Rhinolophus ferrumequinum: one gene and its partner. The main gene of each other region encodes a partner of the protein of the gene in region 2 in a complex. Links are inferred from orthologs where the notes say so. Each region holds a gene or a part of one and is shown on either strand. Other genes may lie near its edges. The genes, in order: VPS41 and VPS39.

Region 1 (9,246 bases), on a different chromosome or scaffold from region 2:
TCATGTCATACTCACAAGAGTCCTGGAGAGTAGAATACTCAGTTTACAGACAAGAAAACTAAGGCGCTCAAATATGTGTCGATTTTTCTTTTATACATGGAAGGGTATGTGCTCATGAACATGTCTCTGACAATCTGCAAATGCTCTACGATAAGGACGCATTTCTCTCATTTCTAAAGCAAAGAGGGAGACTTCAAAACAGAAACTCTCCTATTCGGTGAAGAAATAGATGGTCTAAATGAGCAAATATTTAAAGGACGAGGCTCGGACAAGGCTCCCTACTGTTTGAAAGGGTACCTGGGGAGCTGGCAGAGTAAGACGTGTAGGGAATGTAATCTACAATACATCTGAATTAATAATTTTCAAAAGTTTCAAGAAAAATAACAACATACATCCTACTAAAACCTCACTTACAATTTGACATTTTCAATTCAGAAGGTCATTCTATCCTTAATAAATTCATTTAAACATTTTACTAAGCACCTAGTACCTGTAAAGCACTAGCTCTATGAGAAATACAGACATGAGTAAGCTCTCGTCCTTCTTCTTGAGGACTCAGCAATCTGCAGAAGAGATAAGACAAATACACAAACATCCAGACTTCAAGCAGAATGTTATTCATAAGAGAGGTATGGACAAATACTGTTGGGCATCTGTATATGAAGGTCAACTATAAATCATTTTGGTGCAAGGTAAAACTGCTGTTTAGAAGATTTCCAGGCAGAAGGCAGGGTATTAGTTCTTCCTGTAAACTATATAACATTCGTGTAGTTATTTTTGTGAACTACCTTTACTATACTCAGCATAAACAAAGGTTTCCTGATAATTCTTTAAAAATGTTCATTCATATCCATAAAGTGATTTTTAGTTTGACAGTCTATGAACTGTTTTACATTTTGTTAATTCACTCAGTACACAGATCTATTTTGATTCTTCCAAAAATTAAAGGGGGATAAAAAGCAATCATCAAAGAATACAATGCTCAGAAAAGTTAACGGGAGAGGCTTAGTCTTGCTCATCATCTTCTAGTTTTGTTTGCATTTATAGTACAAGGTGCCAACGGAAAAAAGCTTCCTTTTCCCTAACCTGTCATCACAGTTACTTCTAAAAATCATCTCACTTTTTAAAGCATTCAGGGGAGAGAGGAAAGTTATGTCAAGATTTTCTAAAAGGTTCTTGGTCAGATTTTAATGCAAAATACACAAATAAAGCAGAGAAAAGTTTAACCATTTTTAATCCATAAAGGACTGATAACATAGGTACAATTATTTACTACTTTTCTTTAAAAAAGAACAAAACAATATTTGTGAATGTTTGTTCCTTCCTGCTATTGACAATAGGCTACTGGTCTTTTTGAAAATGACAATGACACCACTGGAGGTGGGAAGGAGGGGTGAATGTCTGCTCTAACCATATGTTGCGGTTAAAACATCAAAGATGAAATAATGACTTGAAGGAAATTTATGAAGGTGATAAGGGCTAATTCTACTTCATAAAGTAAAAAACATAATTTAGAATTAGGTTCTTAAATATTTTTTAAAAGGCAGGGTGTTCTAGGGAAAAGCTCTGAAGATAAAAGATGAGATTTGTTATACAAACAAGTCTGAGCAAGTTATTTAAGTTGTCTGAATCTCAGTATGTTTATCTTTAATATTCAGTCATTTTACACTTATTGAGCATCAAGCATGACTCTTAAGTGTCAGGCATACAGCAGTGAACAAATCCTTGCCATCAGGAATCTTACATTCTAATGGGGAGAATATACAGAAATGAATACAGAAACATACAGGGGGAAAAAGGACGATGACTGCTAAGGAGAAAAATAATGCAGGAAAGAGATTTCAAAGAATGGTCAGGGAAGTTCTCACTCAAAAAGGTAACACTTGGACAAAGATATGAAGAAAACGAGGGAGGAAGCCCTGTAGATATCTGGGGTCAAAAAAGGGAGCAGCATGAGCAAAGGTCCTTAGGTAGAAACATGCCAGCATTGTTAAAGGAACAGAAAGAAAGCCAGTATAGCTGATGCAAAGTGACAAAAGGGAAGAACACTAGTGTAAAATGAGATCAGAGAAGAGGGATAGTAGAGCAACTGGGGCAAAGACCTATAGGGCAAATAGGCCGTTACCAGGATTCAAGCTTTTCCTCAGTGCAATAAGACACCACTGGAAGGTTTAGAACACAGTGCTTTTCCTGACTTATACATCAGAATAAACACCACACAGAATTCTTTTGTGAGGAACAAATGTAATGTGAAAGTGTTCTTTAAACTGAAAAGTGCTGTGAAAATTCAAAGCATTCTTATTTTATCGCTAACTTTCTACATGTCTTTCTACATCAGACAGCTTTGTCGAACTCTTCTGCACAAAACAACAGTAAATCCTAAGGGCAATTCTCTCCATTTCTACCACTCTATACCTAAGAACATAAGGAGTTTGGTTTTTGGCTTTTAAATCAAACCACTAAAAAATTACATTTCAAAATGAAATATGAAAACCAGCAATGAGTCATGAAGTTACGAGTGCTTAATGAGCCTTTTCCTTCGAACCGCTTGGAACAGAAAAGGGAGGCTCCAGTGGCAAGGAGGAGACTCTTAAGTTATCACAATGACCACCCAAACCAAATCTATACCTAATTTCTCGATTATTGGCATAAATCAATGTACACAGGGCAAATTTTCATTATGTAAATGAAGTATATTGCAAATGGTACAAATTATGGACGAGGTAAACTTCTGTTCTTACAGTACTAAACAGCTCATCATCAAACCACTTCTTAGAGGCAATTATGGAAACTGATGGCCTGTTAATCTGTGAGGGAAAACAGTGCTGAGCTGACATGACCCTGGAGATGGAAACAGGTATTTCCCCAGGTTCTGGCCTCTGCTCTTTTTGTCTTTTTTATGTTACTTTGTCATTTCAACTAATGTCTGCCTGCCCATACTGCCTGTATGAAAATAACTACCGCCCTCACTAAATTCTACCCTAAACTCCAGTGCCACATGGCTAGGTTCTGACTGGACATTAGATGACACTGCCATCTGATGTCCTACCAGAAACAATACTTCCTCCTAACCTTTACTATGCCCAACTTTTACTGAGCACTTTAACTTTGTGTACTAACTCATTCCAACTTACACCACCCTTGAAGGACGACATTGTTATTATCTCCACCTTGTATTTTAAAGTTAAATTACAAAGTAAAAAATAACTAGCCGAAAGTTACATATTAAGAAAGACACCAGCCATGGTGACTTAGCTTTGCACCTAAATGCAATAGATACGAAACAAAACTCATCTACTCTCTCCCAACCCTCCTGCAAATCGGCTCTCCCTGTTCTGCTTCGAGTGGAAAGGAATTTATATTTCAGTCACCTGGCCTGGAGCTCAAGTCATCTCTTACATCTCCCACGGGCAGTCAGTCCCTGGGAGCCCAGGCTGCCTTCAAGCCAAAATTTCACCGAGCACAGGCCACAGGGACAGAGTCCCCCCAAAGCCCCCGCCCCCCAAAAAACGGGCCGCCTCAAGACGCCGGGAGTTTGTCGGTGAGCTTTCCCCGGCGCCCTCCAAGAGCTGGTATCCCGCCCGTTTCTCTGCTCCCGAAATGGCCTTTCGCTGACCGCCAACCGCGCAGTGGGCCGCCTCGGCCTCCAGCAGCTCCGCACCTCCACACGCTCCACTCCAGACCCCCGACCACCTCACCCTGGTCTCCTCTTTCCATGCCCGGCAGTTGCAGCCTTTACCTGTTCCTCTGCTTCCGCCATGGTGCAGCCGGAGAATCACGTGACAGACCCGGAAATGAGAGAAAACGGGACAACTGGGCCCCGCGCCTGCTGGGAAATGTAGTTTTAGCAGCATGTGAGCCAGGATGTCTTTTCTAGCTGGTGAGGCTATTGGGCCTTGTTTCTGCTTTCAGCTCTCCAAGCTCAATGAAGTTATGCTTTGGAGAATCTGAACATAACCACTAATAATGCTCTATTTTATTGATGGTCTTATTTTTTCCGTGATTGTTATAGTTTTTATTAATATATACTGTGTATTAGACCTTGGATTTACAGCTTTACATGAATTATCTCATTTAATCCTCCCAGCAATTCCCACTATTATCCCCATTTATAGAGGAGAATATGGTGCCTCAGAGGTCAGACAGCTAAGTAAGAGACAGCAACAGGATTCAAATTTGGTCTCATCTAATGCCAAAGACTTAATTACCAAATGCTGCTTAGTCTAAAAATGTTCTTGCCCTTGTTTTTTATGTATATTAAGTGAATATAAAGCAGTCTTCACGAAGGAAGACCAAAGAACAATTTATACTCCAAAAATATTTATTTAGCTCCTACTTCTTGTTACCGTAAGTTGACATCTGGCATCTGGACATTTGATAGTAAACAATTCTCTGTTGTTTAATTAAATTATAGGTTAAACTTTTATTGAGTATATTCTATAGGTAAATATTCAATATAGAATAAAAATTTGTCCTTGCTAAAATATGTAAAACTGATGCCGGAGGTTCCCAGTATGTCCCGAAGCAGATCCACTAGGAGCAAAAACCAGCTTCTCTTCTTCACATGGGAAATAATTCAGGAGCAAGACAGATGCAGGAAAACACAGGGAGTTTATCAAAGCAAAAGTAAACAGTTGAGAGGGAAGTGCAGGTGAACTCAGAAATCGAGTCACCCTAGAAGGTCTTGATTAGGGTTTTTATCTTCCTGAGGGGGCAGGAATTTAAGGACATCATCCTGTCTCCTCTCTAGGGATGGGATCTTCGTTTTCCTCCTTTTTGTCCTTATTTGGTTCCTCTGGAACTGTCATGACGTCAGGTGTATGATGGGAGTCGAGGCAAATACAGTGTAAATGACATTAAAATTAGCTAAAGGTTAGGCTTGGGTCATGGATAATGTCCCTGCCAGATGAAACTAATTCTTGTTTATCTCTAACCGCAGGTGTCAGGTGCAGTTCAGTTTCCTGTTTTACTTCCTTGAAGGGATGTGCCTCATTCAGTGTCCTGGAGAGAGGGTCAATACCCTAGGCTATCTATCCTGCCTCAAAACCACTGTATTACGTCCATCCTTGCGCATGAATGATTTCATCTCCATTTTCTGTGCACTTTGAACTCTCCTTCCTAATCCTCAGGAATTTGCAGTATCTTGTCCAAAGACAGGCATTTTCTTCTTTCCACGCATGTCCAGTAACTGGTAACTAGCAGAGGGCATCACAAATGGCAGCATGTGGTATGTGCCCAGTGCCCTTTTTGACTCGCTGAGCTAATTGACTCACACCTAGTTGGAAGTCATGGTCTCAGCACTCTGTGCTTTCCAGGTCTCTAGCTGTAGCCTGATTGTCATGCAGGGTGGCATGAGGGGTCTCTGGTCCCACTCCCCACACAAGAACGCAGGATATGGCTAGGCCAAAAAGGAACACCCACGGAGCCATAGGTAGGGAAGTCATACCACTATGGTCTCGCTGGGTTTACACGACATGCGACCTGCTGTCCGCTTTGCTGCCAACCGACCGACTCTCCTCCACTCTCCTTCAATCTCCTCCTCTCTCCTCGACTTCCCTCCGTAGCCGCGGCAGTTATATTAGTGGCCAATGGCTCAATGGTTACAGCTGACGGCCAACCAGCCACAGCTGATGGCCATCTACTACCTGAGCCAGCACCTTTCCACATGGGGCCGAGAGCCTGGACACTGCTCTCTGGGGCTCTGTCCCCACACTGATCAACCCATGATTCTCATGACGAGGATGACCTTATCTGAGATATTTGTCTTCTCCCCAGGGCCTAAACGGCCTCATTTCTATCCTCTTCCTCCAACCCTTGTGGGGGTCCCTCTTCCAGTCTGCTGATCACTTGATCACAAGGGAATGAACAGATAGACCAACCCCAAGGCATTTAGATATCCATAGCCAAGCACCTAATACATTAAGCTCTCTTGCAAAGCAGCCCAGGACCAAATATTGCTCATGATGGGTTCCAAGTCCCACAAAGACTCTTATATAGACCAAACAGGCTCTGGAAACCCCCAGTCAAGTCTCCAGAGGAAAAAGAAATAAGCTTAAACCTTCTACTTTTCTAACTTTCTTCACAAACTGTAATTTTCCCTTTTTCCATTTTGAGATAGACCTACCCATAAATAAACGTCTAGTGGGCCTGACTGAAGATTTAGCCGAAGGTCACTGCAGGTACTCCCCTGCTCACACAACCTCGAAGACTCTGGATACCCCCAAATCTGTTCCCCATTCAGTGTTCTGACTATAATAAAATATGATGAGCATTTGGATCTATTACTATTTCCTTTTGGACAGACTAGAAAGATGAAGAAACACATATATGGAAAGATGAATTAGAGGAAGAAACCCCTAGAGGCAAGAAGGTTCACCCTGGGCCCATGGGCAAGATGAAATTCACATGTGACCTCCAAGCCCCATGTTTTGTCGTGAAAGTTTGGGGTTCCCTTTTCTAGAAGGTCGTCTAGCTCCTGCTACTCAGACTGTGGTCCACAGACCAGCAACCTCAATCTCACTTGGGAGCTTATTAGAAATGAGGAGTTCAGGGCCCCTCCAGAGACCCACTGAGCCAGAATCTGGGTTTTAATTATATCCCTTGGTATATTTACGTTGAAGGAGAAGTGTTAGGCCTAAGAATCTTTCATTCTCTGGCAAATCACCTGTTTCTTTCTTGTGCATCATCAGTTCACCTCTCCCACTTTCAAGCTATGGAGGTAGAGGTGAGAATCAACTTCTCATTTGCAGTCATTAGGACCTAATACTGGGAATAGACTTCAAACCAGACCTAAAACATTATAGTTTCACTGGTTTTTAAGGATTTGTCTCATTAATTTGTTATATAGATCTGAAGTAGTTTACTAATTCAATAAATTGTAATTTTATTAATAACAACCTACTTCATTGTTTAAACAATATGAATGGCTTCAATATTTTCCATTATAGGACAGTATTTCTAAATTTATTAAATTTAAAAAATCAGCAAAGTGGAAAGGTGAGGTAAAAAAAAAAGTTGTCCCTACATCACTTATAATTAAGTGGTAATTTATAGATTCTTTTCCTAATCTTTAGCTTCCATTCCTTCTTAGATTGCTACCTTTTCCAGTCTAACGATCTTTCTCGATAGCCAGTGACAAGCACAGCTACACCACATTACACTACTGACTCCAAGCAATGGTTTTAGCCTTTCCTTAATTGTCTCTCCCAAGTAGCCAGAATAATACTTGTTATTTTTAGGAATTTTGGAAATACTCAGCTTATTTTGCTGTTTAGTTTTCCAAAACCTATACCCACTGAAACCTGTTACCTTCTAATATTCTAGATATCATTTTAACATAGAGCTTATTGGAAGTTTCCCTGTACAAACACACTAGATTTTTTTAAAGACCATTTTTCTAATTACAAAAGTAATGCATATTCATGACAGATAATTGGAAAAATACAAGTAAAATTCAAAAACCACTTATAATTTTTCCATTCAGATTATCATTGTTGGATATATTTCTTTTCTCTCTATCTCTACCTCTACCTCTATCTCTCTCTCCTCTCTTTGTGTTTATTTGAAGTTTTTAAAACAAAAATCATATTATTAAGTTTTGTCATTTGCTTTCTTCACTTAGTTATATTTCAAGATCATTTCCCAATATCATTATAAAATGTTCAAAATCGTGATTTAATGGTGCACATTAAAATTTCATTCTAGGAAAATACCATAATTTATATAATTCATTGTTTTTGATTCATACTTTGAGTATATCTAATATCCTTGCACATAATTTTGGCAGATGCTTTAATGAAAGGTGGTATCAATTGTAGAAATAAATGAATACCAACCAAGTGAAAAAATACAAGGCTATTTATTCCAAACCTGCTTTAGCAAAAAAGTCAGCCACCATCACTTGTGTTTTGGCAGCCACAAAGGCAGGCAGGAGTGCGAAAGCTTTATAGTGGAAAAAAGGGAAGGTTTCAGGTGTGCCTGGATTGGAGGCTGTTGACATGGGGAAGCTGTAACAAGCTAACTATGAGGGCGGTGTCCTGTGTGATTAGTTACGGGACACCGTATTTAGCTTTTTCAGGTTGGTCCTAAGTTGAAAGTGGGGATAAAGATTAAGGAAGCTCTTTGTTATATTAATCGAGTACTGGCCACTTTGGGCTGATTGTTACAGAAGTTTTTGTTTAGCTTCCGGGAGTGTTACTAGACATAGCAGTCTGGCTTCCTGCAAGTCTGCCTGAATAGCAGTCTGGCTTCCACAGCTGGTTATTGTAGATAAAGGGTTGGTTTCCTGAGCAGTTTGCTGCAGATTGTTGGTCAGAGTTTGGTTTTTATATATGGTCTGGCCATTGTCTGTTTGTAGATTCCATCTCTCAGAATTTATATTCCCAAGAGTTATATATGAGATCTCTATACTCTCCTACCATCAAACATTAGATATTATCATTTTCTTTAAAACGTCATCAATTAATTTTGATGGGAAATAGTATTTTACTTTTTGTTGTAATGTGTATTTCTTTGAATTTTGATAAATTGATATTTTTCATAAATTTGCTCACCATTTTCAATTATTTTCTGCATTTCTATTCTTGCTCTTTACTCATTTTCTGTTGGGAAATTGATCTTTTCCTTATTGACTTGAAAAAGAATGTCCAGCAGACAGCTGGTTATTTAGTTTTGAAGCTAAAAGAAGTCTGGCACTGGAGATAAACATTCTGAGATCTTCAGCATGCAATTGATATTTGAAACACAGAGGGACTAACCAATAAAGGGAAAATGCAACCTAAAGTATAATCTTTTGGAATGTATACACTTGAAGGAACATGGAAGAGGATGGAGTTTAGACTCACGGATGTGGTTTTCTAGTCACTGATTCCAAGAAAACATGTAAGAGAACAGTCCTAAATGGAATATTTTCCCCATTAATTCTTCCTGTGAATTGGGACAATGCTGCAACTATTTAATTTTAGCAGTAAAATCCCTTGATTCAAACCAGGTCACACTTACATGTTTTCTTGGAATCTTTGATTTTGCTATTGCATATCTACAGACAAGCACTAATACAAAAAATATATATTAAAAATAATAAATAAATCCTAACAAAAGTATCAGAAAGAAGCTACCACATTTGCTTTCATAGCTCCTTATTTTTAAATAAACACGTGCCAGGAACCCAGCACAGTGCCTCCATTATTACTTGTTGACTGAGTCAATTAACTAATTAGCTAATTAATTTAAGGTATTACCATATCA
Region 2 (10,093 bases):
TAAACAAATATTTAATGAATACCTATTATGAGTCAGGAACTGTACTAGGCACTGCAAATAAAGAATATAGAAAACAAAGTCCCTGCTCTGAAGGAATTTATATTCTAATATAGAGTGAGGGAGACAATAATAATATGTAAAATAGCATTAGGTGGCAATGCATGTTAAGAAGAAAGATAAGGTTTGAGTAAGAGAATAGCACATTTGGTGGATGTGGCATTCTCTTTAATACAGGTAACCAGGGAAGGTCTTGCTGATTTATGTGACATTTCAGCAGAGACCTGAATGAAATGAAGAATGAGCCATGAAATATCTAGTGCAAGAGAGTGCCAGGCAGAGTAAACAGCAAGTGCAAAGGCCCTGAGGTCAGTATGTGCTTTGTGTGTTCATGGAACAAAGAAGACCATATGACTAGTACCAGAAAGGCACAAGGGGTAAGAGCATAGGAGATGAAGTCAGGGAAGTAACCAGAGGTCCGATCATGTTAGGTTTAGCCAGCCATGGTAAGGACTTTGGAACATATTCTAGTAATGATGGGAAGCTACTGAAGGGTTCTGAGCAGAGAAGAAATGTGATTAGATTAAGTTTTCAAAGGATCGCTCTACTTCTACGTGGATAAAACACTACGTGGAGGGCTGGCCTGGTGGCTCAGCTCCATGCTCCTAACTCCGAAGGCTGCCGGTTCGATTCCCACATTGGCCAGTGGGCTCTCAACCACAAGGCTGCCAGTTCGATTCCTCAACTCCCTCAAGGGATGGTGGGCTCCGCCCCCTGCAACTAAGATTGAACACGACACCTTGAGCTGAGCTGCCTCCTGGATGGCTCAGTTGGTTGGAGCGCGTCCTCTCAACCACAAGGTTGATGGTTCAACTCCCGCAAGGGATGGTGGGCTGTGCCCCCTGCAACTAGCAACGGCGACTGGACCTGGAGCTGAGCTGCGCCCGACACAACTAAGACTGAAAGGACAACATGAAGCTGAACGGCACCCTCCACAACTAAGATTGAAAGGACAACAACTTGACTTGGAAAACAGGCCTGGAAGTACACACTGTTCCCTAATAAAGTCCTGTTCCCCTTCCCCAATAAAATCTTCAGTAATTCAGATAAGAGAGAATAGTGGCTTCATCAAGAGTAGAAAAAGTGGAGATAGAACGACATGATTGGATTCTAGATTTATTCTGGAGGTGATGCAGACAAGATTTGCTGATGGATTGGATGTGATGTATAAGACAAAAAGAGAAGTCCAGAATGATTCCAAGATTTTCGGCCTTAGCCAGTGGGTAAATAGAAATGCTGTTTGCTGAGACGTGGGATACGGAGGGACAGACGTGGGATATGTTTGGGGAGAGTGTAATCGTCAAGAACTGTTCTGGCCATGCTACTAGACATCCAAATGAAGACGCTGAAAAGGCAGCTGCATTCTACAACACTGGAGTTTAGGGAGAAGTCATCATCATTAGTATCCTCATTTCCATTTCCCAGGAGACAGATTATGGTGTCTCAAGGCATTTTCCAGCTCATATATTGTCTGGCCCTGCATGATCTGGCTCCTGGAGCTTCCTGGATGAACTACAGGTAAAAGGAGTAACGACTAGAAAGAGCACTATTTAATGCTGCTAAAGTCTAACAATAAAGTAGTTTTGAGGCAGGAGGTGATAAATGGCCTCTTGCAGCCCAATACTTACCACAGCATCCTAGGGAGCAATGGGCATTTGTTTAGTGAGATCAAGGCAGGCCAAAGGCTACCTACCATTTCAAAACTGTCTTCCTGAAAAGCACAGACATAGGACTCTACTGTAACAACGTGGAGTTGGTGAGAGAGGCTGAAGACAGGTGTACTGCTAATCCCACAGGGTCTGAGTCAGGCATGTGACAAGCTACGCAGTGTGGTAAGCAGCTGCACCCATCCTTTTCAGAAGCCTATGTCCTAGGCAGAGTTCGGTACCCCTCCTCCAAGTTTCCCAATAGGCAGCATATAACCCTAGTATCATTTATTTTGTATCATAATTGCTTTATGTCTTTTTCCCCCCGTGTGTCCTAGAAGCACAGGCACTGTGTTTTTTTCATCCTTGTATTCCTGTCCCTAGCAGAGAGACTAGTCCATGCAGACCTAACACATATTTGATGAAGAAATAGGGGAATTCAGTCCCTCTGTGTGGTGTCAGGTCTTTCATTTAAAAAAAAAAAATTCTCCTTTCTTTTTAATTCTTACTGAGAGCATTTAATGACAGAAAATGGAGGCTTTCTTGAGCAACCTGGAGGAAGCAGGATTCTCTCCTTAACCCAAAGGACTAGGACAGTTTACTGTGGAGGTGTGATTTCCAAAGAGGCCCAAGGCTGATAAAGGCAGAAGGGGGGCACATTAACATGAAGACCTGTCGTGGAAGCGCCCTAAAGAAGAGGCCCTGAAGAACTCTGCAAGGCTGACGGTGGCACTGTCCACAGCTGCTGCACAACATGCCAGCCACCACGGAGATTCCACTAGGTCCATCACCAGTCCTTAGCTCAGTATGAGATCTGATGAAGGGTCCTGAGCCACCTTTTTAAGGCCCTTGATTTCTAGTACCTGGACATTATCAGGAAATACTGAAATTATTTGTGTGGTCTTTGGTGGCTGTTAGGCACAATTACTCATCGATAGGAGCATAATGTTCATAGTTAAGAGTCAAAGTTTAGACCCCTGAACCCTTTTGTATTCTGGAGTGTACTAGAAATAAAAGGGGCCTGACCCTGCTTTCTGCACTGGCCACTCCCGAGAGGATTATGCAAGTTTTTATGGGTTCGATTTCATGACAGCCTGGAGTGACGCTCCTGACCTACACTTAGGTAAGCTGGGCACTTTGAATATAAGGCAATCCACCACTGGGCTAGCTTAAGAGTTTAGAGTAACAACGTGAGTTACCTACAATAACGAGAAGTGAACGATTAATGATTCATCACTAAGGGGGTAAAAGGCATATGGCATCAACTAGTTCAACCCCCCCCCATCACCCACTCCCCCCAAAATCAGTGCAACACAATCATCTGGGTAAGTTCAAGTCCCTGATAAGCTGTATACTTTCCACTGCTTGTGCCTCCACACTAAAGACTTCTTGGAAATCGAAATGAGCCAAAGCTAAGTACAATTAAGAAGGAAAACTCAACTTCCAACTCTGCACCAAGAACAAGGGCAGGTGGAACGTCCCTAAAATGCCTGGGTCCCGAGGTAGCGCCAAAACGGCCCCACCGCCCTCGCTGTCTACAATGCTTTGCACTCCTTCATCTCAGGGCACTCTTCGACAGCGTCCAACAGAAGCCCATCCAGCCAAACGCCGTCCCCTTCCCCCGCCTCAGCCCCTTGGTCTTTCGGCTCACCCCAGGCAGCCAGACAGTCGATCTGCAGAGGTAGCTTTTCTAAGATCGGCACCGGCTCGAAGGCGTCATGCATGGCGACGAGCAGCGTCGCCTCGACAGTCTCACCCTGAGTGTACCCGGCCGGGCTCGTGGCCAGAACCAGGCTAAGAAGACGGCCGCCCAGAATCCGGCCAAGGACCCCAACTACAGGCCCTTCAACAACAGAGCCATCAACGCCGAACTTCCTGCTGTCTAAGCCCACCCCTTCCGCCGCCGAAGTCCCGCCCCTTCCGCCACTGCTCCCCACGCACCTTCAAGGAATGCACCAATGCTTGGGGTCTCCATTTCACCCTAGACTCCGAGTCTCTCCGTAGGGGAGTCCGAGCAGCCATTGGATTAACACGGAGAGGAAAATATCTTTATCTTAGAACTGTTTTAGGCAGTGTGGCGTGGTGAAAGAATTCAGGCTTTGGCGTCAGACCTGTGATGGAGATCTGCCATTTAGGAAATTCGCTGTGACGTTTAAACAATTTAATCTTCAGAGGACTTTTAAATTTCCTCGTCTGCAAAGTGGCAGTGTTGTCTACTTAGCTAGCGTTGTGAGAGCTTAGCAATGCCTGACACACTGAGCACTCAAGAAGTGGTAGTTTTAGTACTACCATTATCATCCCAGCTTTACCCTTGCATTTTAAAGGTTCCAGGCCAGTGGTTCTCAAAAGGGGGTCCCTAGACCAGCAGCATCAGCATCATCCTGGGAACTTGTTAGAAATACAGAGAAAGTCTCAGGCCTCTTTCTAGGCCTACTGAATCAGAAACTGCAGGGGGTAGGGGCAGGATGGGAGGTGTCCAGCAGTCTGTTTTAATAAGTCCCCCAGGTGAGTCCATGAACTTTAGAGAACCACAAGCAAGGATGATTTGTATCTGGCAATTCCGCCCTCCCCAGCCCCCAAAAAAAGCATCAAAAACAAACAAACAGGTATGTCATAAAAGTAAGCATTTTGGTTTAAAGCAAAAATATAAAAGAAAAAAGAGGTGAATTTATGATATGAAGTAAAAAAACTGGCCCTGGTTACTATTTTTATACAATGTCTGTTTCTTCATCTGTAAATGAGAAATATTGTCCCATCTTTAAATCAAATATTTTCAAGAAGTAAAAACCACAGAAATTGCTAAACAAATCTTGTGCTGTTTGATTTTTACCATAGAAACTGAACACCTTGAAATTTTAGAATTAGTTGCTATGCTGGAAGAAGGTCTAATACCTGGTAGTTCCAGGCCCAAGGACCAAGACTAAAATAAATGTAATACTATAAATGCCTTCTGAACCTATTCAGAAAAAAATGGTACAGTATATACATTCATAGTAACATTAAGAAATAACAGAAAGAATTATCAGGTCCCAGGCTACAGAATTTGTCCTACATACTCCTGCTTAACACAGGTTTTTTTTCTCCTAGTCCCAAGCCAACATCTAACCAGCCTCAAAAACTATTTAACCAGCTATCCTGCAGCATTATGAAGATCATTCATTTGCTAAGTTTTAGTATAGAAGAACACAAGCATACAACAGTTATATCAGCCTTTAGCAAAAGGTTAATCTGAGAATATAGTTAATTCCTAATAAGGTTCCTTAGGTGATTTTTTTTTTTAAAATCACGACAGCAAACAGCTAAAGAAAAATGTTACATCAATGTAAACACTTTCACATTAGTATGAGTTAATGAAGATTGCAGTCATGTGGGCCATTGGTTTCAACAGATGATACAGAATAAAAACCATAGAAGGAAAATCTCCCATGGGAGAAAGAAGGGTCTTTAAAGAAAGTTTGAAAAAAAAAAAGAGAAACACATTAATTTTGTTAAAATTTTTATATTAAAAAATGGCATGAACTTTCTATGTAGAACAAAACTCTTGGGAAGGGAAAAGTGGACAAAACCATTAAAACAGAAATATAGTGCTTCAAATGAATCCCATCACCTTGTGATGTCTCTTATAAACAGTCTCTAAACCAACACCAGATACAAGAACAGTCAATCCTACAGAATGAGCAGCAGTCCAGGGCCTCCACACTACGTCATGCAAAAAAACTGTTTAAGCCAGAAGGACCTGTTTCCTTTGTATTAGCTCCTGCTTCTGAAGAATTATAGTTCTTAGCAGGGCGCTCACTCACCAGCACTTAGAGTGCCTCTGTGCACCTAGTGCAACACCCAGTGAATGGCATGAAGGCAAACAAAGCACTGCCTAGGACTCAATGCTGCCTTGGAGGCTTACAAAACAGTAGTTACAAGTTCTGGAGTGTGCACCACATTGCCAGCAATGGGATCTGTCACAATAGCAGATGTCAAAAGAGTTAAGCTAATATTTCTCTCTCAAGTACATCTGAAATAGAAAAATCTTTAATATACACCATTTGTAAACAAAATTGCACTTGATTTTGCTTTTTTAAATGATCTGAATTACATTGTAACAGTTTCTTTCTCTCCCTTTTTTTTTTCTTTCTTTTAATCATTGCTAGAACCATGGCTCTTTAAGTCAGAAAGACTCTTTTTTCTTTTTTTTTTTCCCCTCAAAACTATCTCTGCAAGATGTAACCTTGGCTTCCCAGGAAATGGAAAGAACATTAGCAATTTCCCCAATCACCTATGTAACTCCCTAAATAAATAAAAATCACAGGCAGTTGCTCCTGGAGGTTACATATTATAGTGTTGATGCCGCAGTTCTTTAGAAGATGTTAAACTTTTTAGTTTGACAGATTAAACAATTTAAACATTATAGAAGGTTCAGGAACAACACACAGAAGTTGCATAAACGTCCATGTCAGGGTGTGGGAGGGAAAAGGGCATCAATGTTGTAAATTAAGAAACTTGTAGATTTTTCTCATCCCATGAACTTGTTTTCAGTAACATGTTCTCCTTGTTCTGACACCTCTCGCCAGCTCCCATGCACAAAGATCAAAGAACAGATCAGATGTCATTTCCTCCTTTAATCCCATGGAGCAGTGTAGAAGACTGACACAGAAGCTGATCTCTTCCCAGACAGTAGCCATCTTCAACTGCACAGCCTCCCATTCTTTACTCCATTTTGGACCTTTCAAAGTGTGTGATCATTCGTTCCTAGGGGAAAAAAAAAGGTTTATTCTAAGTACCTTAATTTTAAATGGTCTACATTCCAAATACCTTCTACATAGATCATGCACACATACATTTTCCACAAGTACTTGTTTAAGTTCATTAAATATTTAGACCAATGATTCCTAACCATCCAAGAAAATTTTAAAAGAGGGATATCCAGGCCCCACACAAAATTCAACTGAATCAAAATCTCTAGGCTTTCAGACATCAAACCACAAATCAAAATGAATTGTATGTTTTAGAGACAATTAAGATAATTAAACAAATGTTTACTTAAGATTAAACTTTGATGAAAATGTGTATTTGATTCAGAAATTTAACTTGAAGAAATAGTCAAGTATGTGGGCAAAGAGTTAGCCACAAGCATTTCTATGGTAACACTCAGAATTTCAACAAAATATTAGAAAGACTTAAGTGTCCAAAAATATGGGATTGTGTAAACACAGTATGATATATATCCATATAGTGGATATTATATAGTGAAATGTTATATACTGATTAAAATTACATTGATGAAAAAGTTCTAGAGATCTGTTACATAACAATGTACATATAGTTAACACTTTGCACTTGAGAATCATTAGGATGGTCATTTTATGTGCTTTTTACCACATTTTGTGAGGCGTTCCAAACGCTTTCTGAAATAAGAGACTCTAGAATAACCTTATATTCAGAACCTATCCAGAACTAGTTCCCAAGACTTTATTGTGAAGCTTTCCAGATGAACTGTGTAGAGGCATATTAAAGAATTAAAAATCAACATAAAAATTAGCGGTACTAACTTTAATCCTTAATATCTGAAGAGGATAGTGACATTAGTAACATTGAATGGTAGTAACTTAAATATCTTGCTTTGGTCTACTATACTCCTTTCTCAATACTTTTCTTCATTATTTTTGCTTAGATTAGATAAAGGTTAAATCTGAATATCTTAAGACGAAGAAATCAGAAAGCAGGACAGTATGGTATTTACTATCTAATTTAAACAAAGACATTCTCAAATCTGACCACATAACTTTGGAAAAGGGGGACATGTAAAGAAAACATTCGTGAATATCTGAGTTCTAATAAATGTCTATTCTCATCCTTTTTCAGTGATACTCTTACTGAATCAAATAAATAAAATCTCCCTGAAGAGAGGACTTATAGACTCCCTATTAAGTCATCAGACCCACAGTTTATGCACATGATTTGATTACTAACCTCATCTGAATCCAGAAGGGCTGGAAGTGCTCTACAGAGAGAAAAACACCAAATTGAATAATATAAAATAAAGCCGTAAGTGGTTCATAAAGGACAGTGGAATAATGATTTCAATTTAAAGCTTTTTTGTATAATTATCTAAGATTTGCATCTCATTAATGGCTCTTTCAGGTGGAGGGGGAAAGCAAATACAAAAGAAAGAAGCAAAGTTCCTGGAATTGTATAGAAAAAACAAAACATGTTCTGCATTGTAATAGGACCAATGTTTAATAAAATGACAGCCATAGAAAGGAACTCAAAAATTCCAAAAGAATTATCCTATTGATTTTGAAGATCTATAGCTAAATTTTTCTAAGCAGAAATGTCATCGAATAATCTTGATTACTTTTCTTTGTATATCATTCCTAATCTTTCATTGTTTAACATCTTTTTAACACTTTTAATTATTCTTTTAAGTAATTTAATCTTACATTTCTAAAGTTTACAAGCATTCTATTCTCTTAGTATATTCTTCAGCTCATTCATTAAAATAATAAAGGTAATACTAACTTTGAAATAAGATTTTTGTAATGATTCAGACTTACACATCTGTCACAGAAGAAGGAACATTCTCTTCTACCCACTTCAAATCATCTTCCTGCTAGAAACACACAAGTACCAATTGTTACTAAAATGAATAAAATAATATTTCAAGCAAAAATTTAAAGGTCTCAAAAATTTTAAATTTAATCTTTTGTCACTCTGAAATAGTATAGTCACATAATAAATGGGACTGCTAACAGAAAAATCAAATAATTAAAATGTAGAATGAATCCACAATTCTAAAAAAAAAAAAAAATCTGCTGACTAAAAAAATCTCGATCTTTACTACCAAAAAGACCTTAGGTTATCAATGAGGCTATGACTTCACTGACGAAAATCATTAAACAGAACCATCAGACTAGTCTGGTATCTTTTAATGACATAGTGCCAAACCATCAGTTAAAGATTGATAGGTCCTAAACAGAATCACTTGCTGTCTGTTTTTAAAATGTAAATGCAATATATATTAAAGGATTCATAAAAGTAGGCTTAATTATAGCATAGGAAAAGAAAATCATTAAGGCCTGTACATTACTGCTAAGCAGGAAGACAGAGCAAACAGGAAAGAAAAGAAGTCATACTTACTGCTTTGTTTACTTTAGTATTTCCATTTGGTTCTTGTTTAGTACTTCTCATTTTCATTCCTTCTGAAGAAGGAAAAAAAAGAGATTGGTTAACTATGTCAATAGACCAGCAATGATTGCAAAAATGGATTTACAGATTTATTTTAAGCTTACTGACATTGAATTATACAACAGTTGTTTCTCCATCTTTGTATTTATGCTGGGAAGATCAAAGCCAAATTTTTAGTTCATTTCTAGTAAGCAAAATGGACATTCAATGTGCATTTACTGAATTTACTATAGTGTCATCTTAAGATTCATACCTTTATTTTTGCTTCTCCCTAACTTTACCACATACCAAACTGAGGAAGGACAGTTATAAAATAATAAACAATGTATTTATATCGAAGTATCTTGATTTTGATATTCAAAATGTTATACAGTTGACCCTGGAACAAGTGTTTGAACTGTGCATGTCCACTTATATGTGGATTTTTTTCAATAAACACAGTAAATATATTTTCTCTCCTTCATGATTTTTAAAATAATACTGTCTTTTCTATAGCTTAATTGTAATACAGCATATAATACATATAATACACAAAATACATCTTAATCAACTGTTTTCGTAAGGCTTCCTTCCAGTCAACAGTAGGCTATTAGTATTTAGGTTTTGGAGGAAGTCAAAAGTTGTACACAGATTTTCAACTGCATGGGAGGTCAGTGCCCCTAATCCCATGTTGTTCAGGATCAACTGTACTTGCTTTACTCTATTTCCAAAAGCCAGCAAACAATATTTAAAGAACAAATAAAAGGTGAGTTTTATCACTACCAAAGCTTTCTTTCAACATAGGTTCCTTCTGTTCGTCATCCTCCTCTTCCTCAGACAATGGTGAAAAGGCAAACCTGACAGAACAAAGGTAGAACAGACCGGGAAAAATTAGAAAACTAAAAAAGTTGCTCCACTATCTGGATTTTTACAGGAATAATTATTGAAATTGCCATTTATGGCCATCCAAAATATCTGTTTAGTGAATAATAAAATAATTCTTCCCCTTCAAAAAGCTCTCAATTGCCTATATTAGCAAGGGAGAAGGAGGACAGTATCATATTTATGAGTGCAGGCTCAGCCACATACTCCCTGTGCCTTTAGACAAGTTCTCTGTGCCCTAGTTTTCCCATCTGTAAATGGGGATAACAGAACATTACTCACAGAGGTGTTCTGTCAAAAGTAAATAAGCCACTTCAAAAAGTTCTTAGAATAATATCTGACACGTAGTA

What was found.
Region 1: VPS39 (region 2) and VPS41 share a complex: the UniProt entries of both Homo sapiens proteins name them as parts of the homotypic fusion and vacuole protein sorting (HOPS) complex. The link is inferred for Rhinolophus ferrumequinum from reciprocal best matches to the Homo sapiens genes VPS39 and VPS41.

Annotation. Positions count from the first base shown.
Region 1 is NC_046303.1:52,663,215-52,672,460, forward strand, and holds the start of VPS41 (vacuolar protein sorting-associated protein 41 homolog), read right to left. Parts: upstream 3,800-9,246; 5' UTR 3,761-3,799; coding exon 3,740-3,760; intron 1-3,739. UniProt on the Homo sapiens protein: Plays a role in vesicle-mediated protein trafficking to lysosomal compartments including the endocytic membrane transport and autophagic pathways. Acts as a component of the HOPS endosomal tethering complex.
Region 2 is NC_046289.1:63,238,584-63,248,676, reverse strand, and holds the start of VPS39 (vam6/Vps39-like protein), read right to left. Parts: upstream 3,590-10,093; 5' UTR 3,428-3,589; coding exon 3,355-3,427; intron 1-3,354. Other genes in the region: TMEM87A (transmembrane protein 87A), read right to left, coding at 6,405-6,446, 7,668-7,698, 8,252-8,307, 8,835-8,896, 9,645-9,718. UniProt on the Homo sapiens protein: Regulator of TGF-beta/activin signaling, inhibiting SMAD3- and activating SMAD2-dependent transcription.